Rhinolophus ferrumequinum: one gene and its partners. The protein of the gene in region 1 purifies or fractionates together with the protein of each later gene. This does not show direct contact. Links are inferred from orthologs where the notes say so. Each region holds a gene or a part of one and is shown on either strand. Other genes may lie near its edges.

What was found. The genes of interacting proteins can lie anywhere in the genome.
Region 2: the proteins of POLR3D (region 1) and POLR1C purify together in Homo sapiens (affinity purification with mass spectrometry; 6 studies listed by BioGRID and IntAct, counting the BioPlex papers as one, with this or other methods). This does not show direct contact. The link is inferred for Rhinolophus ferrumequinum from reciprocal best matches to the Homo sapiens genes POLR3D and POLR1C.
Region 3: the proteins of POLR3D (region 1) and POLR2H purify together in Homo sapiens (affinity purification with mass spectrometry; 4 studies listed by BioGRID and IntAct, with this or other methods). This does not show direct contact. The link is inferred for Rhinolophus ferrumequinum from reciprocal best matches to the Homo sapiens genes POLR3D and POLR2H.
Region 4: the proteins of POLR3D (region 1) and GPN3 purify together in Homo sapiens (affinity purification with mass spectrometry; 3 studies listed by BioGRID and IntAct, counting the BioPlex papers as one, with this or other methods). This does not show direct contact. The link is inferred for Rhinolophus ferrumequinum from reciprocal best matches to the Homo sapiens genes POLR3D and GPN3.

The regions. Positions count from the first base shown.
Region 1 is NC_046301.1:44,199,642-44,206,692, reverse strand, and holds the start of POLR3D (DNA-directed RNA polymerase III subunit RPC4), read left to right. Parts: upstream 1-4,045; 5' UTR 4,046-4,175; exon of another isoform or gene 4,176-4,185; intron 4,186-4,407; 5' UTR 4,408-4,412; coding exon 4,413-4,577; intron 4,578-5,844; coding exon 5,845-5,888; intron 5,889-6,490; coding exon 6,491-6,642; intron 6,643-6,794; coding exon 6,795-6,919; intron 6,920-7,051. UniProt on the Homo sapiens protein: DNA-dependent RNA polymerase catalyzes the transcription of DNA into RNA using the four ribonucleoside triphosphates as substrates.
Region 2 is NC_046286.1:12,846,891-12,854,425, reverse strand, and holds the start of POLR1C (DNA-directed RNA polymerases I and III subunit RPAC1), read right to left. Parts: upstream 3,003-7,535; 5' UTR 2,925-3,002; coding exon 2,856-2,924; intron 2,734-2,855; coding exon 2,662-2,733; intron 1,467-2,661; coding exon 1,359-1,466; intron 1,115-1,358; coding exon 982-1,114; intron 702-981; coding exon 582-701; intron 487-581; coding exon 334-486; intron 177-333; coding exon 27-176; intron 1-26. Other genes in the region: protein YIPF3, read left to right, coding at 3,230-3,310, 3,930-4,127, 4,324-4,430, 5,709-5,754, 5,892-5,984, 6,149-6,280, 6,477-6,590, 6,768-6,891 and 1 more. UniProt on the Homo sapiens protein: DNA-dependent RNA polymerase catalyzes the transcription of DNA into RNA using the four ribonucleoside triphosphates as substrates.
Region 3 is NC_046285.1:60,795,493-60,803,420, forward strand, and holds the start of POLR2H (DNA-directed RNA polymerases I, II, and III subunit RPABC3), read right to left. Parts: upstream 3,003-7,928; 5' UTR 2,800-3,002; coding exon of another isoform or gene 2,778-2,799; intron 1,975-2,777; exon of another isoform or gene 1,393-1,974; 5' UTR 1,290-1,392; coding exon 1,217-1,289; exon of another isoform or gene 1,208-1,216; intron 285-1,207; coding exon 201-284; intron 118-200; coding exon 24-117; intron 1-23. UniProt on the Homo sapiens protein: DNA-dependent RNA polymerase catalyzes the transcription of DNA into RNA using the four ribonucleoside triphosphates as substrates.
Region 4 is NC_046308.1:6,149,088-6,156,380, forward strand, and holds the start of GPN3 (GPN-loop GTPase 3), read right to left. Parts: upstream 3,003-7,293; coding exon 2,965-3,002; intron 903-2,964; coding exon 896-902; intron 728-895; coding exon 610-727; intron 1-609. Other genes in the region: protein FAM216A, read left to right, coding at 3,769-3,860, 5,329-5,369. UniProt on the Homo sapiens protein: Small GTPase required for proper localization of RNA polymerase II (RNAPII). May act at an RNAP assembly step prior to nuclear import.

The DNA of each region.
Region 1 (7,051 bases):
ATCTGGAGTTCAGAGAGGTCCAGACTGAGATAAGCACAAGGTTTGAAGCCGAGAAACCGGACCATTGTCAGGGAGTTCAGTACAGAGAAAAAAGGAAGAGTTCCGAGGACTGAATCCTAGAGCTATCCGACGTTTGGAGCTCAAGGAGCTGAGGACGAACCAACAAAGAAATGGCCTGCAAATGATGCAAACAAATTAGGACAAATTAGTCATAAAGAACATGTAATAGCTTGAACTTGGATAGCATTCTCATGCCATACATTCCTCTTCTTCTACTGATACATATTCAAAACAGTCTCTTATTCATTTAGGGTTTGCAACACCCAAGAACTCACAGGAACAGCCTTTTGACAGAATCTGTTTATACCTTCTGAAACCTGCACTGAGACCCGGAACACTATATTTGTTCTTAAGAGTTTGATTATTAGTTTCAATTAAGTCATCAGAAAAGAATGAGGTTATTGTGTTTACTATGAAATACGAGTATATAAAAACAAAATGCAATAAAATGTCACTAATAACAAATTGAGATCGGTAGAATCACAGATGTGATTACACGGGGTTCAGCCAGTAATGATTTACAAATTTCTTTTGAATCTAGATAAAAGAATGAACACTCTTTGGAAGAAAACGAAGAGGGAGGTATTGAAGCAAGTAAAGAAAAAAAGCAGAAAGGTGCTGATATTCGCTGGATGAGAGGGAAGTTTGAAGAATCTTCTTAAATGGAAATTATAATAATCATTATCAGGAAGTAACTTCCCAAATGTTAAAGGTGGAAGACTTGATTTAAGTCTTCTCCTCTCTTGTCCTTTTGGGGTGAGAAATGCTGTGGAAATCCAATAAGCACTGCAGGAAGGAAACGGGTTAAGTTACAGTGCAAGACAACAATGTGGAGTACTATTTAGCCATTAAAAATCATCATTTAGAAGCATACTTAACTCAGAAAAATGTTTATGGTTGAGCAAAAATGTTTATTGTTGAGAAAAAAACAGATATTCTCAATTATCTCAAAAAAAGCAAGATATCTCAATTTTTAAAAATCTACATGCTAGGTAGGAGGGGGTGGGGATGGGGGAGAAGGGAAAGGGATTAGAAAGTACAAATTAGTAATCACAATATAGCCACAGGGATATGAAATACAGTTTCAGGAACATAATCAATAATGTTGTAAAGGTTTTGTAGGGGATCAGATGGGCACTTGTTTTATTAGGGAGACCACGTCATGGACTGTGTAGATGTCTGACCACTGCGCTGAACACCTGAAACTGAAGCTGAATAATGTGGAATGTCAACTATTTTATATATATGTATATGTATATATATGTATGTATACATATATACATATACATAATATATATATATTCATGGGATGTGGAGTACAGCATAGGGAATAGAGTCAGTGGAATTGTAACAGCTACATACCATATCATGGGGGGGATGGGGTTATCACTTTGTAAGGGGTGTAAATGTCTATTACATTATTTTGTTCACCTGAAACTAATAAAAAAAATCTACATGCATAGAAAAACAACTTCAAATATATAGAACAATTGATGGGAGAATAAGAGGTGATTTTAATTTTCTCCTAGTTGCTTTTTAAAATTTTCCAAATTTCTTACGAGTAAGTATCTTTGTAAAAATAAATGTATAAATAAAAATAAAAAATGAGGAGCTACTAAAACGCTGGTGAACTTCAAAGCCCAGAGAATGAAATCAAAGCAATTTCTATCATCTAATGCTCCAGTCAGAAGTTAACAATCACTGTGTGTATGTAGTTCTGTATGTAGTGTGTGTAGTGTCTGTAGGGGACAGGATAAGTTTTTACTTGGTTAGGTTTGGTTATCATAAAACAAATATGGGGGCAGCCGGATGGCTCAGTTGGTTAGAGCAGGAACTCTTAACAACAAGGTTGCCAGTTCAATTCCAGCATAGGATGGTGGGCTGCACCCCCTGCAACTAAGATTGAAAGCAGAGACTGGACTTGGAGCTAAGCTGCGCCCTCCACAATTGAACTGGCAACCTTGTTGAAGGACTAGATTGAAGGACATGGACTGATGGGTCCTGGAAAAACACATTGTTTCCCCCCAAAAAAAGAAAAGAAAAAAGAATACCATTACGAATAAAACCAATATGGAGAAAAGTTGAAAAAAGTCTGGCTAGAAACCGACATTAAATATTAATATATTACAAAATTGGCAAAACAAGTTTAAAATTTTAAGAGCCAAAAGGATGTGGGGAAGAAAACATTTTTACATACTATATATGTACAAATTCTTAGTAGTGATGGATATTAGCACAACCTTTTCGAAAGCAATTTACCAATAAGGATGAAGAAACACAAAATGTGCATGTTCAAAATGGTGCAGCCACTGTGGAATGGTTTGGCAGTTTCTTATAAAACTACACATATAACGACCCAACAATTGCACTGACATTTATCCCAGAGAAATGAAAACTTACGTTTACACAAAAACCTGTACATGTATGTTCACAGCAGCTTTATTCATAATAGCCCAGATGTTCTTCAAAGGGTGAATGGTTAAATAAAGCATGGATACTCAGCAATAAAAAGGAGTGAACTAGTGATAAACACCAACTTGGATAATCTCCAGGGAATGATGCTCAGAGAAAAAAGCAATCCCAAAAGTCACATACTATCTGATTCCATTTCTGAACGACTTTCACTGTTGAAATGACAAAAGTATAAATATGGAGACTAGTGGTTGCCAAGGTTGGGTGGGAGGGTGGGAAGTATGGCTATAAAAGGGCAATTAGAGGGATCCTTGTGGTGATGGAAATGTATTTTGAATATTAATGGCAATATTCTGGTTTTGATATTGTATTATAGTTTTGCAATATGTTACTATTGAGGGACACTGAGTAAAAGGTACTTGGGTTCTCTGCATTATTTCTTACAACTGCACGTGTGTCTACAACTGTCTCCAAATAAAAAATTTCCTTTAAAAAAAAAGTGTCTTCTTTTGGCCAGTTATCGCAAGTCTGGAAATTTGTCCTAGGGATATAATCCAAAATAAGAAAAAAGTTAAATGCACCAGATGTCCACTACATCGTTATTTACAACAGGGCAACGAAACCATCTAAGTGTCCAAACAAAAATATTTAGACAAGTCATGACATGGCCACCCAAGAATTAAGCAGTCTTTTGATACAGCAACAAAGAAATGTTATTTGAAAAGAAATGTTATTCAAAATTGAAGTACAATATGACAGCTCTGTGAAGGGGACTGGACGATATTACAAAAGTCTTATTAGTATTCCATGTGGACTTCTAGCAGAAATATTTGCCTTTCTTCAAACTTTTCGTAACGTTGTTACATGGCTTTCACATGATTTGGGGATGAGGGTGGGGGGAATAACAGTAAAGGACATTTTTTTAATGTTAAATTACAAATGTCGGAATCACAATAAAAGTTCTTTAAATTCGTCCCGCCCTGTAGAGCAAACTTCGTTTTTCAGGTTCCAGGTTTGGATCAAGAGCGCACCCAAGGGCCCGCAGTCCTGAGCCCGGGGCGGGTACCATTAGGTAGGTACCCGGTTGGTCCGCGGCTGCTGCTCCAGAGCTGCACTCAAAAGCCCCAACTCGGGACCCCCGAGCAAGGGCGAGGCCGCTGCCCGGAGGTGCAGTGACCACTCTAAGGTCACCATCGAGCCCGCAGCCGCGGCTTGGCCCGGCCAGGGCTCCCGACTCTGAGTCGGGGTCTTGTTCTCCGCCCCGCGCCCCTCGCCCCACCCGGAGCTGCGACCCCACTGCCCCAGGGTGGAGAATCTCTCTGTGGAGAATCCTCATATCGTGTCGGCGGCTGCCAAGGCCCACGGACCCTGAGCTGGACGCTCCCACCCACCGCCTCGAGCCAAGACCCCCGAGCGCTGCACTGTGGCGTAACCTGGACCAGTCCCCTCTTCCTTTTTCGCCCTCTCAACCCAGCTTTTCCCGACTCCGGGAAGAACCGGGAAGAGAAGGCGGAGGCGAGCGGGGCGCCGCCGGATAAATACTGTGGCCAGCCCCGCCCACCGACCTCACTTCCGCCTCGCGGCAAGATGGCGGCGCGCGGGTCCCGCCACGCAGACTTCCGCCTGGTGCTGAGACCCAGGGCCGGCGGTGGGCCGCGCCGGAGTTGAAGTTGGAACGCGCGGGGTGTTGAGCTGCAGTCCGGGTGTGCTGGGGTGCGTCGCTGCCTCAAGTTAGGCGGGACCTGGGGAGAGGGCGCGCCAGAGGCTTTAGCCCGGGTGGTCCGGGGAGTAGCCACGTGGGAGGGGAGGAGCTGTGACACTGCGGGAGGGACGCACTGACTGAGGGGCGGGCGGCCAGGTGGGTGGGGCTCCGCCCAGGGTCCGCGTGTCAGTCCCCTCGATTGACTTTGTTGTCCTTTTTCTCTTCCCTCGCAGGCGACATGTCGGAAGGAAACGCCGCGGGCGAGCCCAGCGCTCAGGGAGGGCCCCGACCCCTCCTCTCTGGGGCCCGGGGGCTTATCGGGCGGCGGCCGGCTCCTCCCCTCACCCCGGGCCGCCTTCCGTCCATCCGCTCCAGGGACCTCACCCTCGGGGGAGTCAAGAAGGTATCCGACTACCTTGAATTCCAGGCCCCTGGGGTTCAACTGATGTTCGTGTAGGGCCGACCGTGATCCATGCGTGATGTTGGGCCTTCCGGATCTCTTGTCCCCAGGTGTTTTGTTTCTTAAAACCCGTGAAAGTCACGCAGGCATAAACTTGGCCTGCAGTTTTAGAGAGTTCTGAATTCGCCATGGATCCCAGTGTGCAAACTTCTGGTCTAGAGTATCGTGAATCCTACTCTTGGCATTAGAGGCTCTGTTCCTCTCCCATTAGGTTTGTGACTGTTAGGCACTGCCGGCGACTCGCGGGAGACCAAGATTGGTCTATTAGAATTTGGCTGTTTGAGCTGCGGGAGGTCAGGCCAGAGCAGAGGGAAAAGACCATAACCTCCCCAGCAAAGAGGAGTATGGAGTTTTATAGGAGGGGTAAAGGAGGCTGTTCCCCCTTCAATGCCTCAGGGGGTTTTTGTTACAAAGGGTTTCAGGGCACGACCAAGCCCTCCAGCTCCATACCCTGGCCCCAGGTCGCCGTCCAGACCGCCCAGGCTGATCACAGGCCCCTAGGAGATAAAGCAAGATAGGATCAAGACAAGATGGCTTTTAAGATAAAGTTTCAGCTCCTGGCCTAAACATGGTTTAACAATAACAATACATGTAAAGAATTGCCCTGACCGTGGAGAGGTGAGGGCGATGACAGAAGCTTAAAGCAGCTGGTTTTTAAAGACTGAAGTTTGCTTAGGGAAATTCTGGCGGCAGTCTAATTTATCATCTGTTTGTGAGTGCCGGCAGCATCTGTCTTTCCTACTTGAGCCTTGCTGCTAGAGCTCTTTCCCTATGATATTCACTATTTTATTATTTTACTATGACATAAGACCAGGTATAATACGATATATAACCAGGTCTTATATTAATTTTTGCTCCAAAAGACGCATTAGAGCTGATTGTCCGGCGAGGTCTTATTTTCAGGGAAACACGGTAAATTCCTTTGCTCTTAGAATTTCTGAGGGCTCTCCTTTCAGAGAGCAGAAGCTGAGGCTGCTAGTTTAAATGGTTTTTGGTGCCCCTTTCTTCTGTGTATAACACTACTGCCACCATGACATGACATTTTTCCTTTACAAGCATGAGTCTTTTTCTGTAAATCTTTGACAACAGTGTGGAATGCGCAGAAGAGCCATGGTGGTCTAGGTCCACATAAGAAGCCCTTTGGGAGTTTTTCGTCTGTATGTTGGGATCAGAATTTACCAAATCAGTGACTCCTGTATTTTACTTTCAGAAAACCTTCACCCCAAATATCATCAGTCGGAAGATCAAGGAAGAGTAAGTAACTAGGCCTTCTGAGTATTATTTACTTGCTCTGAATTTGGGCCTTTTGGGAAATAACTAAGTATGTTGCCCAGAAATTTAAATTTGTGTATGTATTTAGTTCTTTTCACTAGTGATTTTCAACCTTGGCTCTCAGATGATTCTAACGTGCAAGCTTGGAACAATACTGATGCCTGGGGGTCCGTCCCAGAAATTGTGGTTTAACTTGTTTGCAATGAAACAGTGATTATCTTTTATAGCCAGAGTTGAGAGTCACTAGTTTAGGCAAAGATGTATCAAGTTTTCCCCTGAAGTTATTTTGCATTACAGCCTACCTGCTTTCAATCAATACAAAAAGTCCACATTTTAGAGCTGTCACTATAATTTAACTTTTGAGTTATAGTTCTAATATATACTCACAAACAAGAAGATAAAGTAAAGCAAACTGAAAGGACTACCCCATCAAGGAAGTGTAAAAGGTACTAGATGTTGTATTGGGTTCTGTTTCTCATGATGTAGTTGTTGGCTGAGGTAGAGCGGAATGGTGTGGGAAAATAAGACCAGTTCTCTGAGGCAGGGTGAGTGAGTGCTGTCCTTTAATCCATTCTCTTTTCCAGGCCTAAGGAAGAAGTAACCATCAAGAAGGAGAAGCGTGAAAGGGATAGAGATCGACAGCGAGAGGGGCATGGACGGGGCCGGGGTCGCCCAGAAGTGATCCAGTCTCACTCCATCTTTGAGCAGGGCCCAGCTGAAATGATGAAGAAAAAGGGTACAGATGTGCTGGGGAGAAAGGGATCAGTGGATGTTAGTTCACACTGCCTGATAGAAGGGCAAGGGCAGTGGAATTTCCTAGCTCCCAGTTTAGTTTTCGTTGCTAATGACCTCTTCCTTCCCCCTGGTGAGCTGGATGTTTTCCCGCAGGCAATTGGGATAAGACAGTGGATGTGTCGGACATGGGGCCCTCTCATATCATCAACATCAAAAAAGAGAAGAGGGAAACGGATGAAGAAACAAAACAGATCCTGCGCATGCTGGAGAAGGATGATGTGGGTACCAGCAGGCTAGTCAGAGGAGCCTTCTTTGTAGCTATGGAAAGGGCCTCTGGGAGCCAGGGTTGAGGGAAGAAGCCTGATGAGCAGCAGGAATCTTCGGTTAGAAAAGGGCTAAGATAGATTGCA
Region 2 (7,535 bases), on another chromosome or scaffold:
GGTCCTGACCTGACCAAATACCGTACCGTGGACTTCATGCACTTCAATAACACCCGGTGAGAAGCACCGGCGCAGCTCCTCAGCGGCCTCCCCTTCCACGGGCTCGAGCAAGGTGATGTCCGGCAGGAGCCTGTAACTGGCTGTTGCCACAGGTGAAAATTTGGCATGATCTTTGCCTAGAGGGAAAACAGCGCCTGTGGGAAAACCCTTCTTCACGTTCCCAAAGGCCCACTGGCTTTCTGCCCATCACATCTTAGCTGAGTCCCTCAGTCACACCTCACGCCACTGGATGGGAACTACCTTCCTCGCCAGGGCAGCCCCCAGGGTTCTCACCAATGCCCTTGACACAGTGCATGAGTAGGTCGATCTCCTGGCCAGGCCGCAGCTGCGCAATGAGGATGTCGTCATGCACTGGTCGGATAGTGCCCTCCGGGAAGAGGTCAGCCTGGTTCCCCAGGGGGACCCACGTCATGTGTCTGGTGTACACTGGAGGGAGAAGCACATCAAGAAGACCCCAGTCCCTAAAACCGGCACCCACCACCAGATGGGCCCTCTTCCTTACCCTACCAATCAACACGCACCTTTGTGGTTCACATAGAGTTCATTGGGGTCAGAGGAATCTTTAGCAGCATGGGGGTTCCGAGTGCACCTGACTTGCAGCCGAAACTGCAGCGTGTCTATCTCGGTGCCTTCTTCATCTCCTGCACAAAGGGAGGAGGTGGCAGCTCTTAAAGGACTAGTGAATATTTGCGCGCCATGCTGAATGCATTCAATTTCTCCTGTAATCCTGGACAAATTTAGTAAGGCAAGGGCAGGGGTTCTCATGGATAAAAAGAATGATGTACCAAAAGATTGGTCACTTGCCTAAGGTCTTGTAGTAGTCAATCCAGGATTTGAATACAGGCAGTCTGATTCTAGAATCTACTCTGCGGAGGAGAGCTGCTCCCTTTTCCCCCAAATTTCATTTTCTCAAACCCTCACCTTGGTTCCGATATTCAAAAAGACGGGGATCGGCATGGATGGGAATGAGCCCCAAGCGATGGGCGAGGATCTCATCCTGCACAATGGATGTGTTGTTGTACACCAGGACTTTTTCCACAGCCATGGTTGGCACCTGCCCAACAAAACAGAACCACTCATCTACAAAGACCTTAAAGACTCCGCATCTATTCCCCGCCGGCTGACAGAGATAGGGAGAGACCTCTTCCTAGAAGAAGCCTTGATTAGAAGTTTACAAATGAGCAAGAGGAATGCTCAGCAAAACGGCAGGAAAAATAAACCTTGACACAATTCTACAAGCGAGGTCAATGGCATGGATTCCCCGTGCAACTCTACCCCGTCGCCAGACCCACCAATACCTCAGCCAACAGGATGCGTCGGAAAGCATTGGCAATGGCTGCATCGATCCCCACCATGTCAAACTCCAATGAGTTTTCATCCAGGTGTACCACATCCACGCGGAAATTCTAAAGGGACAAGAAAAACACTAAATGATGCTTGCTCTCTGTATAGTCAATACCTGCGGGCCCCCCCCCCACCCTCCGATATTCCCCTCAAGGTATTAACATTCTGTCTCATCCAAAAACCTCCCTTTGCCCAGATGGCCCTCATTAGATGTTCCAAGTCCTCCTTTATGAGTTTCTTTTTAAAAGTCTCCCTGTTTTCATCTTCCATTCATTTACAATCCTCTGCAGTACGGCTTCCAGCCAGACCATCCGCAAAGGCTACTGTGCTAAAGAACACGCTTCCACACTGCTTAGTCCAATAGACACTACTCGATCCTTATTACATTCCTCTGTTGTATCTGGCATTGTTGATAGGATCCCTCCTTTTTCAAACTCTGTTGCCTTGATTTCTGAGCACCAATCTTCTGGTTCTCTCCCTTCTCTGATCAATCCTTCCAAATTCATTGTCTTCCACCTACTCCATAAATATTACGATTTCCCAAGTTTTTGCTTTCCCAAACCTATTTCCCAAGTTTTCTCTCCAGAGTGACCTCAACCACACTCATGGTTTTAGCAACTATCTCTATTGACAGCTCCCCAAATTATATCTCACTTCTGACCTCAATTCAAACATATATTCTACTAGCCTGCTAGACTTCTCCACCTGAAGGAAACTGAAAGCATGTATCATCATCATTCCCCAGCCCCAGTTCTCATCAATAAATGACACCACCATCCATCAAAGCAGTTCCCCAAGCTGCGTCATTTGACAGTCTCCCCTCACGGCTGATACAAAGCAATCACTAAACCTACCTTTTATCTCCCCTTTGCTCTGTCACCTAGTGTCTAAGACACACTTTACTCAATCTTGCCTACCACTCATGCTGACCCACTTTACTTCTGCCCTCCTCCCCATTCTAGATTAAGTGCCTCTGCGGAATGGGACAGCCCCCGACCCACCTCCGGTCATCCTTAGTGCTATCAACCGCCTTTACCACATTATACTGGAATCATTTGCTTACGCGCGCTCTTCCCCAACAAGACTGAGTTTGTTCGCAGACCAGAGCAGAAACCGTGTACACGGAGCGCCTAACACAGTGCTCAATAAACGTTTTAGGAACGGAGCGAAACCCAAGGACAGCTTCTGAGGCACAGGCTGCTCAGATCACACGGTCCGATCCTCATACCCTCTCCGGACACCTCCGGCTCCACCCACCTTCTCGAAGCGGTCCTGGTCCCAAGCATCATCATAGCCGGAATAGTTACCGGGAAAGTCGGTGGTATGAACCTAGAGCAGAGAAGAGTCTGTCCGCGAAGGGGCAGCGAGGCCAAGCCCGTCCCCACTCCGATCCCAACTCATCCCTGTTCCACTCTCATTTCTCCTCCCGAGCTCAAGACCGCAAGGCTTACATTGCGAACCCCGAACTCCCCGAGAACCACGCGGCCCCGCATTTCCTCCACTGCCTGGGGCGCCGCCATCTTCAACCCCTCCACGTGACTAGGGTAGCAACTGGCGCTTGCGTTCTAATCGCCCTCCTCCGTCTCCGTGGCAACGCCCCGCCGCCTTCAAGGTTAAATATCGCGAGATTCTGCCCTGTCTCCGTCCACGTCCCCAGCTTCCGGAAGTTAGTTTTGGCCAAACATCCGGGTTTCTCCTTTTTGCATTCCGGCTGATCCCGCCTCCCTTTTGCCCCTGGACCTCTCCTTTCTTCAGGCCTACGTCTCTCCCACTCCTCCACGAGCGGGGCTAGGGCAGGCTTCCGCGACGGGAGCCCTCGAGGGACATGGCAACTACGGCGGCGCCGGCCGGCGGCTCCCGAAACGGGGCTGGCCCAGAATGGGGAGGGTTCGAAGAAAACATCCAGGTAATGGCCCCAAGGCTTCAGCTGCCAGCTGCCCCAGGGTCGGCAGTCGTCCAGAAGTGTCGTGGGGACTCTCCCTCGGGGCCTGGAAGTCTGCTCCATTTGCAGCACTGGTTCTCTCCTTTGGCTCTTCGAGCACACACGAAAGTCAGTGGGACCAGTGATGACCAGAAAAGGCCAGACTTGTACTCCAGTCAGAGGGCCTCGCTCTCTGGGCCGACCCGCTCTTGCTTTCGGGACAAATTAGGAGGTCGGTCGGGGTCAGGCATGGCAGCGGGTGGGGGAGTAATGCACTGGCTAAAACCATACTGTGTGCACAACCTTGCATGGGGGTTGGGAGAGACAAAGGAACTGGGCACATTTGTAGCCCTTTGAGACTTTGGTAGGGAAGGTAGGAGGAAGACATGTATGAAAGGTAGGGAGTACTTTCCCAGGCTAGAAAAGAGAGCCAAACAAGAAAGATTTTGAGAGCAAATGAGGAGAAGAGTGGCACCATCTATGGTGATTCCGGGCCATATCCCCCTCAGTGGAAGGACAAAGCCCCAAGTCCTGGGAGGAACAGAGAAACACTTAATGGATGGAGCAGAAAGGTCCTGCACACGAGGAGCTATTGTCTTCACAGGGTGGGGGTTCAGCTGTGATTGACATGGAGAACATGGATGATACGTCAGGCTCCAGCTTCGAGGATATGGGTGAGCTGCATCAGCGTCTGCGCGAGGAAGAAGTCGATGCTGATGCAGCCGCTGCTGAAGAAGAGGATGGGGAGTTCCTGGGCATGAAGGGCTTTAAGGGACAGCTGAGCCGGCAGGTGGCTGATCAGGTAAGCAAGACTGGATGCCTGGCAGGTGGAAAAAAACACCTAGGAGGCCCCAGGTTCTGGAGTTGGTGTTGATGACGGTCAGTCACCCCAGGTTGTCCAGTTAGAACCATGTAGAAATCCAACAGAAAATCAGCAACAGGGCTGAGAGCCAAGAGTCTCACACTAGCCACCCACCCCGCCCGTCCTCTTTCTTCAGATGTGGCAGGCAGGAAAGAGACAAGCCTCCAGGGCCTTCAGCTTGTATGCCAACATCGACATCCTGAGACCCTACTTTGATGTGGAGCCTGCCCAGGTGCGAAGCAGGTGAGGACCCTTCTCCTGACGGAAGCTGCCCTCCTCACACCTAGTCCTTCAGAGGACAGAGACCAAGTCCTTAGACACCCGTCTTCATGACACCAGCAGCCTTCATCGTTGTACCCGTACCCCAGCCACGCCATTCCTCCTCTCAATCCCAGAACGGGACATGCTGATAACACACTGCCTTCTTCCTCTTGTCCATCTAGTAAGCTACTCATCTTTCGTCAAAACCTAGCTCAAATGTCGCTTCCTTTGTTCCCCATTCCTCAGCCTCATCCCTGGTTTGTCCTTTCCTGGTGCTCCCGTATTGCTCTGCGCTTTCCCCTAATAAATAACACTTCAGCACGGCTGTACTTTCTTATTCTTGAGTCTGTCTCCCCAGAGACCACTTCAAAAGCAGGCTCTGTTTTGTTTATCTTTTCATTCCAAGCACCAGAAGAACCTCTGAATCAGAATATTGGTACATAGTTGTTGAATGATTTCAAAAACTGGAATTAATTTTGGCTTGCTTCTTTGTTCATACTTGCATAAGTCTTGCTTACCAAATACCCAGTGTACTCAGCAAGTACTTACTAAGCTTTTGCTCTGTGCCAGGTACTCTACTAGCTGTGTCTGATTTAGTGGTGAAGCCAGATGAGAGCTTTGCTCTCAAGTGTAATTACAGTGTAGCACTCATTTGCTATGAAGGGACACATAGAAGGGACTCTTGACCCTAGAGTAGGCTTGAGGTGGAACAGGGCAGGTTTCACAGAGGAGGGTAAAATCCAGCCAAATTCAAAGGTATTTTTAGGAACTAGCCACTTAAGAGAACGGGGAAGTGGCTTGTACTCGTACTTGTATTCCTTCTGCCTGGAATTTTCACACCACTTCAAATGTATTTTAAGAAAATGCTCGACAGTGCCTGGGGCAATTGTAAGCAGACAGAGGCAGGAGGCACACTGGTTCCCTCAAGTAACCTGCACTATTACAGTGTGGAATTCTGGGCATTCTCTGCTGAAGTTTGCCTTTTAGAGGGGAGCACGTCACATATGTAAATTGTCAAGCCCTTTCCCAAGGCCCAGCGGGGCTCCCTGAGTTCATATTGCTGCTGCAGCTGTCAGTACAGCATCAAAGGGTTGCCCTTCCTGGAAGTATTTTTAGGGGCAAGGAAGTGATCTCCTCATTCTCCCTGTACCATCCAGCATGTTCTCTGGAGTTAGAGAAGTGAGTGAGATTCAGGCCCTTGAGAACCTCATAGCCTCGTGCTGCCTCTGCGCTCATCTCTCCTCTCCTCTCCTCTCCCAGGCTCCTGGAGTCCATGATCCCCATCAAGATGGTCAACTTCCCCCAGGTGAATAGGGGGTGGCATGACTAGAAGAGCCGGGGGGAGGCACCGGTCAGAGGGTGGGGCCACCAGACAAAGCCTGGGGAGAAATCAACAGAAGAGCCATTGTACCGTCCAGCCTGAATGAGTTGGTATATTGACAGAAAATCGCAGGTGAGCTCTACGGACCTCTCATGCTGGTCTTCACACTGGTTGCCATCCTCCTCCACGGGATGAAGACATCTGACACCATTATCGTAAGCAGGACAGAGGACTTTGAAGGGCTGGGGGGTGGCTGAACTGAGTTGAAAGCGGCCCAAAGAGACGGTGGTGGAGCGAGTTAGAAGCAGCCCTGAGGACGGCCCTGGGTGAGGTTGAGGCCATTGGCCTCCCAGGACTAAGCACAGCCTTCCCCCCACAGCGGGAGGGCACCCTGATGGGCACAGCCATTGGCACCTGTTTCGGCTACTGGCTGGGTGTCTCGTCCTTCATTTACTTCCTCGCCTACCTGTGCAACGCCCAGATCACCATGCTGCAGACGCTGGCGCTGCTGGTAAGGAGTCCAGCACGGTGGTGGGCAAGGGTGGTCTTACAAGAGGAGCCAGGCCTTGGTTTGCATCTGTGCTGCGGCCCCAGGGCTGGGAATGGAGTAAGCGGGCCGCTCGACCGTTTGTTTCTCAGGGTCTCCGTGAGGGTCCAGAGGCCAGCCCGGCCTGAATGGTTTTCCTCTCCACCATCCTCCTCCCTAGGGCTATGGCCTTTTCGGGCACTGCATCGTCCTGTTCGTCACCTATAACATCCACCTCCACGCCCTCTTCTACCTCTTCTGGCTGCTGGTGGGGGGGCTATCCACCCTGCGCATGGTAAGATGGGCAGGGGCTGTCCTCCTGGGGAGGTGGGGGCAGCAGCCCCTAGTGCAGGCAAAACCCCACAAAGGGCTCTGAGTGGGACGCCAGAGCCCAAAGATGGTTCTGCTCTAGGGAGGAGTGGCTTCCCCACACTGGAGCCAGGCCCCCTGAGCTGTATTCCTGTGGTCCTAGGTGGCAGTGTTGGTGTCACGGACTGTGGGCCCCACGCAGCGGCTGCTCCTCTGTGGCACCCTGGCTGCCCTGCACATGCTCTTCCTGCTCTATCTGCATTTTGCCTACCACAAGGTGGTGGAGGGTAAGTGCCAGGAGGCTGGGGTGCGGGGAGGGGGCCACCGCTGCCGAGGGCGGTGCCCCGCCAGCTCACGCTCACCTTCCATCTCCCTCGCAGGGATCCTGGACACCCTGGAGGGTCCCAACATCCCACCCATGCAGAGGGTTCCCAGAGAGATCCCTGCCGTGCTCCCTGCTGCGAGGCTATCAGCTGTCGTGCTCAATGCCACAACCAAGGCCGTCGCGGTGACCCTGCACTCACACTGACCCCACCTGAAATCCTGGGCCAGCCCCGTCTTCCCCAGCTGCGGAGTGGAGGACAATTAAAGAACAGTGCTGATGACATGTGTCTTTTTGATGGGGTCGGCAGCTGCCACAGAGCCGGAGCTGCTTAAGTACCTCCTTTGATGCTGGTCGGGGCTTCCGAAGGGCACAAGGCCAGGAACTCGTGGCCAGGACTGCAGCGCTCTGCAGTCAGTGCAGAAAGTGGGTCAGCGCCCGGGAGGCCCTCTCACCACCCATCCCTTCCTTCCTTTTTATTTTTCCCACATTGTCTTGCTAAATATAGACTTGGTAATTAAAATATGGATTGAAGTCTGGAACTGCAGCTACCACTCCACTGGTCCTCCCTGCCCTCCTACTTCCTGTCCACTTTCCGGTTCTTCTGTC
Region 3 (7,928 bases), on another chromosome or scaffold:
TACTCCCTTCTCCACTCCCTCACCTGGAAGGTCTATCATCTGTGGGGTTGTATTCACCATCATCCAGCGTACCATCTTCATACAAGGTACTGGCTATGACCAATCGGAACTTGTCACCTGAAAATAATGGTAATATCTGAGGGTGAAGAACAGCTGAAATGACAAAAAGTCTTCTGCTATTGTCTGTGTTCAATACTTACCCAAGTCAACAGGGTAAATCTGAATGTTTACATCTAAGATAAGGTCCATCTTGAAAGATTCACTCTCACAATGCAGTCGAGACACTAGAGGGAAGCAGAGGAAGAGAGGCAGAGGTAATTGCCTGCAGACCCCACTTTGGGGGACCATATGCAACAGAACACTCAATCTAACACAGTGTGCTTCCACTGGCCTCTCATCTGCTCTCACAGAAGTTCAGGCTCAATTAGAACCAAACAGGCAATAAGGAGAGAAAACTATGACCAGTGGGCATAATCCCCAGAAATGAATCAAAGGTCCTCTGGCGATAAATAATATCCAGATTCTAAGCCTGCCTTGGTGATTAAGAAACAACCTGACTTTGGGAAAGTTATTCATTCATCCAAAGGTTTTGTCTTTCTGTGCCAGGTGCTGTGCAGAGGGGATTATCAGAAGTGTAAGAACTGGTGTTGTCTTGAAGTACATCTCAGTCTCTAGGCAAAGGAAGAGACACCAGAAACAATTATAGATCAATGACAGAATAAAGAGCTACTCTTTATTTTTCCAAGCAGTCAACTGTAAATCAGAGAGGACTTCACAAAGAGCTAAAGACTCTAAGGGCAATACAAGAATATAGGTTCCGGAGTCGGATAACTCGCTGTGCAGCTAGCTCTTAGAGCAAAAAGGGTGAGACGCCACCTACTCATGGAGGCTCTTGAAACGAATAAGTAAGACAAAATGTGTATAAGGTGCACCATACAGCGCCTAGCACAGAGTGGGTAGCGATTAGAAAGATGCCCAGGAGTTTACTAGCACCACGCGAAAAGGCCACGCAGGAAGAGGGCACAACATGTATGAACCCAGAGAGAGTTCGGAGTTTCACTTTTCTCATCTATAAAACGTTTTCTAAGAGAGGTCGTACATCAGGACCTGCCGTTAGGGGCAGACCACGTGAGTTAGGTGGACCAAAGGCACAGGGACGTGTCCCCAAGGACGAGGTTAGCCCCTAACCCCAAACTGCCCTACATACCTTACCTACCTCGGTCAAACTTCTTGCCCTCCGGGTCAATGTCTTTTACATCAAAAATATCCTCAAATAGGATGCCCGCCATGGTGAAAGGGCCACGAGAGCAGCACAAGGGCTTAGCGCGCGACCACGACTAAGAGTACGTGCACCCACTCGCGTGGAGGAAAGAAGAGGGGAAAACGCAGCGCCTGAAAAGCAGCAGTCAGAGAATACAACAACGCATGCGCACCGACAAGCAGTAAGACGGCCACTTCCGTCGCCTGGCTCTCGGGGCTTCCTAACTTCCGCCCCGAACAATTGCTTCAGTGTTGAGGGCGGGTCTCAAGTTCAAATAACTCCGCCCTAGGGCGGGATGACGGTAGGTCCCACCTCTGGCCGAGGTGGCGCGTTTTCTCACTCTCTGCTGAAGCTCTACTGCGCCCTCTTTAGAATCCCAGTAGGGAAGACTGGAATGCCTGGGGGCCTACGCCAGCCAGGGACCTTGATCCTTGGCCCAGAGGAGCCCGGCCCTAGCCCTACCCTGCCGGTCCGCGTGCCCGCCGAGGGCACAGTCCGCGCCAAGGGAGGGCGGAGCAGAACCCCGCCCCCAGAGCGCTGGCCCAGCAGGGCGCAGTACCCAACCCCTCCAGCTGGTACTAAGGCCCCCCAGGCCGGCCCGGGCCGGCTCTGCCCAGCTGGATGTCACCTGAGCTGAGTCCTTTCAAGTTTGGGAATTTGCCATGATGTCACTAAGGGGAAGAGGAAAGCCTGCACTGTCCCTTCCCCTGGAACCGCACCCTCCCCCACTGCTCTCTTCCCCCACGCCGCCCTCTCAGCCTTGTATTGACCCCAACACGCTACGCTCCTGAACACTGTACCTCCAGCTTGGTACCGCCCGTTCACCCACCAACGCCCTCTCCCTCTGGACACTGATCTATGTGCCTTTTCATCCTGGCACTGTCCTCTCCCACAGGTACTCTTCCCTTACATAGTCCCTTCCTCTAGAGAGCTGGCTCCTCTCACTGACCCCTTCGTGGGCAGTGCCCCCTCCTCCGGGGCACCACCTCTGCCTCCCACATGCCCCTTCATCCTGGTACTGCCTCCTGCCGCACACTGTCTGTTCTCAGACACTATCTCACACACACAGTCCATCCACCCTGTGCTCACCCCACCCTCTGCTCTATCCTTCTCTGGACCCTGATAGAGAACGCAGAGCCCCAACAGGCCGTTCCCCTCAGGCAGCGAGACGTCAGCAGCTACTCGGGTTTCTCCTTGGGCCCTGCCAGGGAGAAGCGACCTCTGTCCCCTCACGCCCGCCTCCCAGGAGCCGCCTCTCCGGCACCTAGACCTCCCTTTCCTCAGGCTCACTTTTTCCCTCCCTACCTCCAATCACCGGCCCCCTGGCCCCCCGCATCCCTCTGCAGGCCAGGTTGCTCCAGGTGCACCTCCCTGGGGCAGCCGCGGGGGGGGGGGGGGAAGGAGGGAGAGGATGAGAGAGACCGAGGGTCTCAGCTCCGAGCATTCCACACCCCCCTAGGGCCCCCCTCCACGGGCCTAGCGTTCCCCTCCGAGTCCCCGCAGCTTTGCTTCTCACCCCGGGCGGAGCAGCGGCGCATCAGAGCCGCTGGCCCCTCGGGAGAAGCAAGAGAGCCACTCTAGAGAGAAAACTGGGCCCGAAGAGAGTCTGATTTAGACGGCTCTGCCGTCCTCCGCCCCAAGCCGAGCCCCAGCGTCTCCAGCTCCTCCCGCCAGGGCCGCAGACACCGCCGGGCCCCTGCACGTGCCAGCGGAACCTCCGGGTCTTAGCCTCAGGCCTCCGCGAAGTGGGGGCGCCGGCTCCAGCATTCCTAGCGCCCCCTACCGCCTCTCCCGAGCCCGGGAGGCCGCCCCAACTCAGACCCCCACCAGGCTGGGCCGGTCCCTGTGTATGGGCTGGCGGGCGGAGCACCACGAAGGACACCGCCCTCTGCCCGCCCGCGGAGGAGGGGACGAGAGCGTGAGGCTCTCTGCACTTGGCCGCCCGGGCTGCGGGGACCGGACGGGTACGGGTGCGGGCTCTGCGGGCTGGGAGCCGAGTCCGGGCCGGAGCCCGAGCCGCAGTGGGAGGCCCGAGGGCTGTGCGCGGAGATGGCGGCCGCCCCGGCCGCCGCGGCAGAGGAAGGGATGGAGCCGCGGGCGCTGCAGTACGAGCAGACCCTGGTAAGTGAAGCCGAGCCGAGCTCTGAAGTGTACGCTCCAGAACTGCTGCTTCGGGTTACCCTTGGAAGCGCGAGGACCGGGGGCCTATCCAAACCTCACCCCAGCCTTCTGAGCTGGGGAAACTGAGGCTGAAGGGCTAAGGGGTGGAAAACTGCATGCAGGTTTCTGGCTGAGGCTGGGGACCTGCATAGGACAAGGACATCAGGTACTTGTTCCAGGTGTCCTTCCCTTTACCTCCCCCCCACGTTTTCTTTGCTCCTCCCCCTCGCCACCTGAGCCGTCTCAGCACCCCACTACTCCTCCCCAGCACTGCTCACACTGTTGAACTTTCTCTCTTTACGTTCTTATCTCCACCATCCATTACATGCCCTCTGTTTCCAGTAAGTGCATTTCACTGTGCTAGGCATCAGGAGTGTTTCTATATGCAGAAAGATGATCAGACCCAAATCTAGACCCAGGCCCTTCCTTTGCAGGCTGGCAACCCAGCATTGGCAGGAACCCCTCAGTCTATTCCCTGGAACAAAGGTGGCCTGCCACCCTAGGGGACAGGAGCTTTAGGGAGGATGGGTCAAGCAGGAATGGATGTGGGAATTGGGACCTTTGTCCACGCTCACTCTTGAGTAGCCAGCCCCCACCCACCCCAGGGGTGTGCCTTGACCTCCTTAGAAGCAGGGGTCCTGGGGCTCAGAGCTGACTCATGGCCACCACTGTAACTTAGTGTTTGAGAAGACTTTTGCCCCTTCTTGTAGTCACTGGAGTGGGGGACCCAAACTGTTGGGAAGGGAGTGGGCCCTGTGTCTCCTTTGTAACAGCTGGTCCTGGAATTTGCCCAGGAAGGAGTCTGGGAGGGAACCTCTCCAGGAGGAGGGGGCCTGGGCTGTAATTGAGGCTGGGAGTTGCCCAGTTAAGAGAGGGAGTGACTGGATGGAACAGGATGACAGGGAGAGGTGGCAGGGGTGGGGGTGGAGCAAGGGTAGAGGGGCAAGCCTTCACATGGGGGGGAGGTGTCTGTCCGTCTGCACAGGCTGAGAGTGGGGCATTGGTCACGGAAGCCAGGCACCTGGCTCTGAAATGGTGTCTATCTGTTGCACCAGCACATCTCCATCTCCTTCGCCTGGGTCTCTATCTCTGGAATGAGTTCCCAGGGTCAAGCTCTCGCCCGGGCACTCTCTGCTCCGGTCTCTCCCCCTTCTCCTCCCAATCCCTTTGTCTTTCTCTCACAGGCTCACCTCCCAGCTCCAACCAACAGTGTTTATCTGCCTCTTTATACTCCACTTTCTTTCTCTCCCTTCCTCCTCCCTTCTTCCTCTTTCTTCCCTGCACCTTCCCCTGGCCTCTCTTTCCTCCTTTTCTCCTCCCTGATTCCCTCTCTTCCCTTTCCTTGCTCGCTCTCTCTCTCTCTCTCTCTCTCTCTCTCTCTCTGTCCCTATCTTTCCCTCCCTCCCCACCCCCTGTCCCAACAGGAGCCCTTGTGTCCTGAAGCTCTGCGGGTGGCAGCCGGAATCTACTCCCCACCCCCCAACACACACCCAGCTTGGCTGGTCTAGCCTTGGCTCAGAGACGCTCCCACCCCATCACCCCAGCATCCGCAGTCACAGCCTGGCCACAGCTTCTTCTGTCCCCCTCACCCACCACTGGACTCAGGGCAGCTCCAGAGTGGACTGAGGCCACCAAGTACTGTCCACCTACCCAGAGAGACTTTCTACTCCTAGCTGGGCTGGCAAAGTGGTGGGGGGTGGGGGTGGAGAATGGGAACAAGGGGATTAGGGTAGGTGGGAGGGGTGCAGCTGAGTGGGTCACAGGCCAGAGGCCTGGCAGGAACGTGATAAGGATTGGGGCCCCGCCTGCTCCTAGGCCCAACTCAGCTGCCCCCAGCTCCTTAAGGCCCTTATTGTTACCCATATGCCCTTGACCATCCCTTATTCTCTGACATTCCCTCCTCCCACTTTCAGACTGTGTTAGGTTTTTCCATCTTTCCTCCTCTGGGGCCTTCCCTCCCACTCCTCCTCAGTGAGAAGAGGACTGATTATTTTGCCACCCCCTAGAGCTGTGTTCCTGTACCTTGGCTGTCCCATCACTCAGGCCAGGACAGCCCCCACAGTCTGCAATGTGCATTGTTCCCACACCCCAAGCCAAAGTGGGGAGTGTGGGTTCAAGAGGTGGTATATAATGTGGGGACTGGGAGAAGGGGAGCTGAGGCTCCAGGGGCCCTCCCTGCATCCCCCTCAGCCCACACATGTCTGCTAACCCCCATCTTTCCCATTGCTCAGATGTATGGCCGGTATACCCAGGACCTCGGGGCCTTTGCCAAAGAGGAAGCTGCTCGGATCCGCCTAGGAGGGCCTGAGCCCTGGAGGGGTCCACTGTCCCCGCGGGTTCCCCCAGAGCTCCTGGAATATGGACAGAGCCGTTGTGCCCGGTGCCGCAGTGAGACCTGGGTTGGGGCAGGGGATCTGGCTGTACTGTGCTGAGGGGGATGGAGGCCATTCTAGCTGGGGGGACAGGGGTAGGAGCACTTTGGTGACAGCCCACCATTCTTCCCTTCCTGCTCCCAGTCTGTTCCGTACGCTGTCATAAGTTCCTAGTGTCCAGAGTTGGTGAAGACTGGATCTTCCTGGTCCTGCTGGGGCTCCTCATGGCACTGGTCAGCTGGGCCATGGATTATGCCATCGCTGCCTGTCTGCAGGGTGAGGACAAGGGCTGGCAGCAGGAGGGCTGGGAAGCACCATTCTGCTTCCTCTGTGCCACACTTGTCCAAGTATTTGGCTCCTTGGCCAGCTTGAATGCCCATCTTCAGACATAATCACTGCCACTTCCATAAGCCACAACTTCTTGCCTCCGCTCTCCAACTGACCCTCTTACCTACAATGATCTCTGTCCCAGTGAAGGCTCTCTAGGGCCGCCTCCCTGCTCCGCGTACCGAGGTTCTGTATGATATTCCCTGGACAGTGCATCATATCAGTATGTCCCAGTGGCCAGGCGGGCACTGGGTATGCACACCAGGGGTCTGGCAACATGTCCTCTCCCCACAGCTCAGCAGTGGATGTCCCGGGGCTTGAACACCAGCCTCTTCCTCCAGTACCTGGCCTGGGTCACCTATCCTGTCGTCCTCATCACATTCTCAGCGGGATTCACACAGATCCTGGCTCCTCAGGCTGTTGGTACAGTAGGAGAGGAGGGGAGGGCAGAGGTGGAACCCCCTGAAATGGGCACATCAAATAACTCTCCTGGGACTGTACCCACTCCAGGGTCCGGCATCCCTGAGATGAAGACCATCTTGCGGGGTGTGGTGCTAAAGGAATACCTCACCCTCAAGACCTTTGTAGCAAAGGTCATTGGGCTGACCTGTGCTCTGGGCAGCGGGATGCCCCTTGGCAAAGAGGTAACTGCAGGTTGGGGAATGAAAGAGGCCCTCCTGGTGGAGGAAGAAGCCAGGGCAGGGTCGGGCTGTGCCCCTTCCCCACTCACTGCCTGCCCCCACCTCCCAGGGCCCTTTTGTGCATATAGCAAGCATGTGTGCTGCCCTGCTCAGCAAGTTCCTCTCCCTCTTCGGGGGCATCTATGAGGTAAGGGGGACCCTGGGGAAAGGCAGAGGAGGGCGTGGGCTGCTGAGCCCATGTTGACACCCCTTTCCACCACTCTGGCCAGAACGAATCCCGGAACACAGAGATGCTGGCCGCTGCCTGTGCCGTGGGAGTGGGCTGCTGTTTTGCAGCACCTATCGGAGGTACACAGCCAGGCCAGGCCCCAGCCCTGCCTTGGCCGCACCTCCTTTGCCCTCCCATCTCGGTCTGAGTCCTGAGGCCAGGCCCAGGCCCCCAGTGGTGTTCTCCTTGCCCCTCACAGGGGTCCTGTTCAGTATTGAGGTCACCTCCACCTTCTTCGCTGTGCGCAACTACTGGCGGGGCTTCTTTGCTGCTACCTTCAGTGCCTTCATCTTCCGGGTCTTGGCGGTTTGGAACCGTGATGAAGGTGGGGTGTCCTGGGGGATGAGGGGAGCCCCGAGATGGCTTAGGGGGGGCCTCAACATTACACCTACCTCCCTCTGCTATTCTGCCTTCCCTCCAGAGACCATCACTGCTCTCTTCAAAACCCGGTTCCGGCTTGACTTTCCCTTTGATCTCCAGGAGCTCCCAGCCTTTGCTGTCATAGGGTGAGGAGCTGAGGGAGCTGGGCTATGTTGGAGAGGAGGAGGGAAAAAAGGGAAGATCCCCATTTACCCGGATGCTTCTTTCCTCTCCAGTATTGCCAGTGGCTTCGGGGGAGCACTCTTTGTCTACCTGAACCGGAAGATTGTCCAGGTGATGCGGAAGCAGAAAACCATCAACCGCTTCCTCATGAAGAAGTGAGTTGGCTCTGGGCTCCTCTCTAGGCCACTTTGGGCTGCTGTGAGGGTCACAGTGGGGTGGAGGTGGGGGGCAGTGACAGTAAGATGGTATATAGTGGCCCAAAAACCTGCACTCCACTGAGAAAATCAGCCAACGGTGTTTTCCAGGCAGATTGAACATTTTGGCTCTTATATGAATTACCGGAAAATTGGTACTTT
Region 4 (7,293 bases), on another chromosome or scaffold:
CACATTACATCTTCAGGTCTGGGCCCAACTACCCCATGATGCCGTCGCTGACTGCACTACCTAAAGCAACCTCCCCGTCATTCCCTCCCATGAGCCTGTTTGCCATCCTTCTACAATCTGTAACACATTTATCATCTTGCTTATTGCTTGTCTCCCCCAGCAAAAGGTCCACGAAGGCAGGGATAGTATCTGTCTTGTTCTCTGCTGCAACCCTGGGATCTGGCATAAAGTAGGTGTTCCACAGACACTTGAATGAATTAAAATAATTAAAAAACAAAATACTCAGGCTGCTCATTTATACTGCGATCAGCAGTAAACCAGATTCAGCACAGCAGCACTAAGCATGAAAGGGGCAGAAGGGGAGGGTGAGGAGGGAGGCATCTACTCACTTTTCTTTCGTACAGCAGAGACCAAGAAAGGATACTGTCACACACATCAACAGCAGTGGGTGTCAGCAAATGACAATGACATTCCGCCTCATGCTGGTCACCATGAAACCAGGGAACCAGACTGTAATAATTAACTGTTCAGCTTCTGTGCTGCGCAGCCCCACTCACTGCCTCCTCACCCCCTTATTTTTCCTGAAGGAGCAGACTGCCCAGGACTCACCAGCCATTACGGAGTAGTTGAAGTGTTCCGCTGCAGGATCCAGGTTCACAACTTGCACAGACCGGTGCAGGGCTTCACAGTGCTGGACCATGGTGGCACAGTAGGTGCTCTGTAACGTCCCAAGGGACCAGGGGTCAGAGCAACAGCAGTGTAGGGCTACCCTCTGCACCCCAGAAGGACACTCTACAGCCCCTGGGCAGGGTCTACTAAGGATAAAACTATGCCTTCATCGGCCAAGACGCTGACTGAAAACAGAAAGGGCACCAGGCTGGGAGCCAAGACACTGGATTGGACTGTAGATTCAACTTGGCTGTGATTCCTGGGTAACTTTGGGGAAGCTGCTTCTCCATGCTGCCCCTCAATTTTCTCATCTCTAACTAGGATGAACTCCACAATCACTAAGGCTCCTTTACTACTCTAACGTGCAACAAGAGGAATTTAAAGGGAGGATTTCCAATGACATAGTGCAGCACGAAACACATGGTGTATCCACAAAGACTTGTAGAGTCCAAGCAAAGCTGTAGTCAGGGTGATCAGAGCCGACATCTCTGAGGAGGGGATGTGTGAGCCGAGGGATGGGACAGTACTTGCCAAGCCAGGGGAAGAGCATTCCAAGATGAGGAGCATTGAGGTCAATAAACAGCATGGAGGTCAGCTATGAGTTTGCAACTTTTGGTTTAGAGAATAAGACCTGGTGTTATGTTATATTATATTATTATATTACATTACATTACATTATATAAGACCTGGTCTAATATTACAGTAAAATAAGACTGGATCTTATATTAATGTTTGCTCCAAAAGATGCAGTAGAGCTCACAGTCCGGTTAGGTCTTATTTTCGGGGAAACATGGTACTTGTCTACCTCTCCCACCCTCTATGTAAAGGCAGGGATGTGTCGTATTCAGTTTTACAGGCCCAGGGACTAGCACAATACTTGAAGGCACATAAGAAATGCTTGGTAATTACGTCTAACTGACTGACTTAATGTTTAAATATGAATTCCACAAGGCCAGAGATTGTGCGTGTGTGTGTTTTGTTCAATAACACAATTTTCAGAGCCCAGAACAGTGCTTGGCACAAAGAACAGGCTCAATGAGTATTTGATAGTAGGCTTCAAAATTTTGTAGAAAAATGCTTTCTAACACCATCAGTCTGAAAAGCAGTCTAGAATCACCCCATAAGTGACTTTATACATACATACCGGGCCATATCAGTCACATGTATATCTCCTGTACCGAGATTAGCGCAAGCCTCGGAACAATGTGTTCATTTAAAGACTAAAGCCACGAGTGGCCAGTTGGCTCTGTTGGTTAGAGTGCAGTGCTCTTAACACCAACTTCACCAGTTGGATTCCCCCATGGACCAGGGAGCTGCGCCCTCCACAACTAGATTGCGAACGACTTGACTTAGAGCTGATGGGTCCTGGAAAACACACTGTTCCCCAATAAAAATTTAAAAAAATGACTAAAGCCACACAACACCTCCACAGACTCGAGTGTTTCCTATACTCCTGTTACTTGACCAATATTTTCACTATTTCTACCATATTTGAATGCCCCCTAATATTCTTCCCTTCCCTTAATATTTGTTTACAAGAAAAAACCATATCATTATTGTAAACAGAAAACCAGTTATATTTATAACATGAAGGTAACCATAAAATTAAATACAACTTCACAACTCTTTTCATTCTAACTAAATATAATTGCCTGTCAAAAGCTCTGAGTCTAAGCTCTCCCTGAAAAGACCTGGGGATTTTAAATATGTGTTGAAAATACACTAGCATCAAACTGACAGTTTCACCTCAATGCAAACTGAAAGAACTGAAAAGGGAGCAACTAGCTCAATATATAATTCAATGTTCATGACGCCAGGGCCTAGTACGTCCTAAAATCGCCTCAAATACCAGAATCCCACGTTTTAAGCTCCGAGAAACAGTGGTTAACGAGATCCCACTTTAACCTCGTGGGGGCAAGACAGGGCCGGATTCTGGAGTTAGCTAAAACCGGATTTAAATTCCCGCCGCCACTTACTAGCTGTGTGATCAGATCTTGGGCAGAAAGTTAACCTTTTTGTGTTCCCTTATTTGTAAAATGGGAATAGTAGGACTTATCTCACAGGGTTGTTGTGGAAAATAAATGAGGCGTTCAGCGCATTATCTGGGGTATAAACATAGAATAAATATCAGCAACTATCATTATACCCCTTTCAAAACAACAAAAAAGACCCTGAAGCCCAGACTGCAGAAGCGAGCTGCCCAGAGTCTCAGGGCCCACAATATACACACGTTCCCGAACCTCCCGGCTTCCCATCAATTGCGATTTGTCCCTCCTTCTCCCGCCAAGTCCTCACCTTCCCGCTTCCTGCGGGGCCCATGACCAGCTGCGCATACCGAGGCATGTCGGATCCCACGGTTTCCCCGGCCGCCAGCCGCACAGTACCTATCAAGGGTCTCACTGCTATGCGCGATGCTCACGGAGTTCCGGGAACACAACGTGCGAACCAATCACAATCCAAATTCTGTTTACGTCTTCTGTTCTGCCACACCTCCGACTACGGAACGTCCCGCAGGCCAATCCCGTGTGAAATGAGTCCTGAGAAAACCCCGGGAAGGAGGGAGGTTGTTTGCGCGTGCAAAGACGAAGTTGGCGGAAATCCGCGGAAGGGCGACTGGCGAAGCCTGGTTGCCTTGGTGATAACGGATAACGGCTAACACTCAGCATTCCTGCGCCGGGTGCTTGGGTGCTTGGGTCCTTGGTTTGCGTACTGATGTTTGACCTATATGGTGACACTCAAGATTTGTAATTTGCTGAGGGTCTGGAATACAGAGGTGGAAGGCACCTCCTGTTTTGGAGGGCATGTGTATTTCGTTTCCGTGACACATCCATTCCACAAAAAGATGCCAACGTGCAAAACGCGCAGCAACTAAAGAACTCCCGCCCCTCCCCTAGTCTAACTCCAGGATCGTGGATCTGCCCTCCCCGCTCTCCCGAAGCTCTTCGGGCAGTGTCCGCAGCGCCTCGGAGGGTGCTACAATCCGGCGTCCGCCTCTTCACCCTCAATATCACCCGGCCTGACGCACGCGTGCTGACCGGGGAGGGGAGGTGGGGAAAGCTTTTCCCGCACACAGCTCGCAGTCCAGGCACCCGGGACGAAATGCCCGGCCAGGGTCCGATGTCCGACTGGACGGAGTGCAGCTCTTCCACAGAGCCGCCTACGGTGGCCAGGACCGAGGGCGGCGGCGGCGGGTGAGGCTGCGGGGCCCTGAGGGGTTAGGGAGATGGCGACCGGCCCCGGGTCGTGATCTCCCTGTAGAAGAGGGGTTGAGAGATGGCTGCTCCAATGGACAGGTTCGCAGTGCACTGAACTGAAAGGCGGGAGAACCCTCTGTTGTGGCTGGGATGGGACTAGAAACCGACTCACTGTTTAGGGGAAGGGCTTCTGAGGAGGAGGATTTGGTGCAATGACTGCACGCGATGACTGCGACAGCCGCCTGCGTGCATCTTTCTGTCCCGAGGGGGCGCTGCAAAACCTGCTGAAAAAATCTGGCCACGGGATCGCTACATAAGCGGGGCTGGGAGAGAGGGGAGACTGCGGGAACAGAGTCCCCTGGCTCAACCGAAGGCTTCCAAGTCAATAAATTAGTTCCCTGTGTGTGACATTGGCGACTTTATGTCAAATGGGGATTCATAATCGCCAGTAAAACAGACTATAAATATTAAAGGCACCTTGATCTAGACATTTTCACACAGAAATCCGTTTGTTTTGAGCAGATTTTTACTATTATTTCCTGAATGCTAAAGAGAATTAGTTGTTGAAATCACTGCTGGAGGCAGTACCTTTTCATCCGTTATTCCCTAAAAAAGGAGAGGTGCCGGTGTTCCTCTGCAATTCAGCTCACAGTTTTATGGCTCCTGCTACACCCATGACCATCTTTTTTTCTTTTCTTTTCTTTTCTTTTCTTTTCTTTTCTTTTCTTTTCTTTTCTTTTCTTTTCTTTTCTTTTTTTCTTTTCTTTTTTTCTCTCTCTCTCTCTCTCTCTCTCTCTCTCTCTCTCTCTCTCTCTCTCTCTTCTTTCTTTCATTCATCTGGTGGATTGAAGACTTTTTAAAGATGGGATGAGGTTTTGTGTTTCTTTTCTGTTCATCACAGTGCTTAGTGAAGTGCTGGATCCTAGTATATCAGGAGATCAGTGAACTCTTGTTCATTGAATAAATTGAAAGACAGGGAAGGAAGGGTGTTTAGTCTTAATTTGAGAAAAGAACTTGTCCAAAATTAGAAACATTCCAGACCAACTTAGTTCCAGTTCACCTTAATTATATACAATAAAGAACAAAACAGTCTTTTCCATAGCCAAATTACTTTATTAAAAATAAAAAGAACAAGAAAATATTATGGATAGCACAGAAGCCCAAACTACTTTATTGAACTCAATGTAGGCATTAGATTAGGAGGCTATAAAAGTAAGAACAAATCTGGCTTAAAGTGACTCTTGTCTGGTAAGGTAAAAATCCCAGACAACTCACTTTGAAAATGTCTGGAACCAGTAGAATATAACCAGAATTACAGGAGAAAATTTGCAAGACATTCTGTCTGATGGAAACATGAAAAGTAAAAAGCATATGCAATATTGTCCTTTTTCATTTAAAATACTTTAATGCTTATAAAACTGTCAATTATTACATATTATTTACATCCTTTTTTTTCCCCCAACAGATCAGCTGGACAATCTTATTACCAGAATTCCAGAGGTACTGGTGAGTAGAGCAGATATACCTATAAGTAATATGGTTCAGAGAAGCCAATTCTGCTGTAACTATTCATACAATGGAGTTTTTAAAATAGACTTTATTAGCGTCCTTGGTGAACTTAGTCTGTAAGATTTTTCAAAGAACAAATGGGCTTCTTTGTCTCCCATTAAGATATCTTACATCAAGCATTTTAAAGAGTACTTCAAAATAACAGTGAATCTGAAAACTGTTTATAACTGATGTTGGTTGTAAGCACAGAGCACAGCGTGGGATTTATTCACAGATTGAAGGAAAAAATTCTCAATTGAACAACTTCAAAGAACAACTTCTTAGTGCTCCTATTTTCCTCTCCCTCCGAGTAAAGGATAGAGCTGCTGGAGTTAAGAGAGTAAGGCAGGTCCCAAAAGGCCTCTCACACATTTTTTTTTCCGGGGAAGCAATTTCAATTCAATGATATATAAACCTGGATTCACTTTACATTTCCTTGGAAAATTTAGTCCTTACAATTACCTATGAAAAGCACACCTGCACATGTCTGAGTGTGTGTGTGTGTGTGTGTGTGTATACATGTATATGTGTGTGTGTGTGTGTGTATATATATATATATATATATATAAATACGTATCCATCAATATTGTGGTTTTTAAATGGAATTGTTGAATCATATGGCAATTGTACTTTTAATTTTTTGAGGAACTGCCATAGCAGCTGCACCATGGGACATTACCACTAGCAATGCACAGGGTTCCAATTTCTCCACATTCTAGCCAACATTGGGGTTGTTTTCTTGATGATCGTCCTATGGGTAGGAGGTGGGATCTCACTGTGATCCCTAATGATGGTTTGCGTTTCCCTAATGATTAGTGACAGTGAGCATCTTTTCATGCCCTTATTGGCCATTTGTGTATCTTCTTTGGAGACATCCAAAGTCTCTTCAAGTCCTTTGCCCATATTTCAAGTGGGTTGTTTGTTGTTGAGTTTAGCTATTATTTTTAAATGTTTAATTTTCTGTAAAGAAATGCTATCGAGCTTTTCAAAAATTAAATTTTAGTTCAGGCTATAATACGCACCTCAGAAATGTAGATTAGCAGGGACACAAAAGAGAGATTCTTAGATAATTAGCCCACATTTATGACTTAAAAAAGAATTTTTTTAAAAATAAACTTTTTAAATGTTAAATTGATACTCATTTTATTATTACAGATTCCAAATTATGATTTAAGGGTCATAATAACATAATTTCCAGGTGATTTTTTATTTGCTGCAAACTAGTTAGTCCTTCGGTATGTAAATATAACTCTTATCTGAACTATCTGATTTGCCCAAATTCTAAAGAAATAACTGAATTTAAAGTTTAATATGTAAACTTATAGTGGCCTTTGTTATCAATAATACTGAAACAAAACTGTGCTTATTTGATTCACTTTACCAAATACAAACTTTTAACTTAAAATCTGTTCTGCCAGCTTTATTTGTAATAGCCTCAAACTGCAAACAACCCAAATATCCATGAATAGATAGGTGTATAAGCAAATTGTGGTATATACATACATACAATGGGATATAACCCAACAATAAAAAGGAATGGATGAATTTCAAATTATGCTGAGTAAAAAAGCCAGACAAAACCGAAATATACTGGTTTCCATTTATATCAAACTCAAGAGAATGCAAGCTAATTTACAGTGATAGCACATAAGTGGTTGTCTGGAGGGAGGGGGGGTGTGTGGGGAAGAGGGAAGTGTTACAAAGAATTATTTCCTGATTAAATTTTGCCAGATATGGTTTTTCCCCAAAGTGCTACTAAAGTTTATACGCTAAATTAAATTATTGGTCTCAATATGTATGAAATAAAATTGAAAATTAGTTTCTATTCTTCTGGGAATAGATCTCAACTTTTGTTTTTACCAAGAGACTATTCTTTTAATCC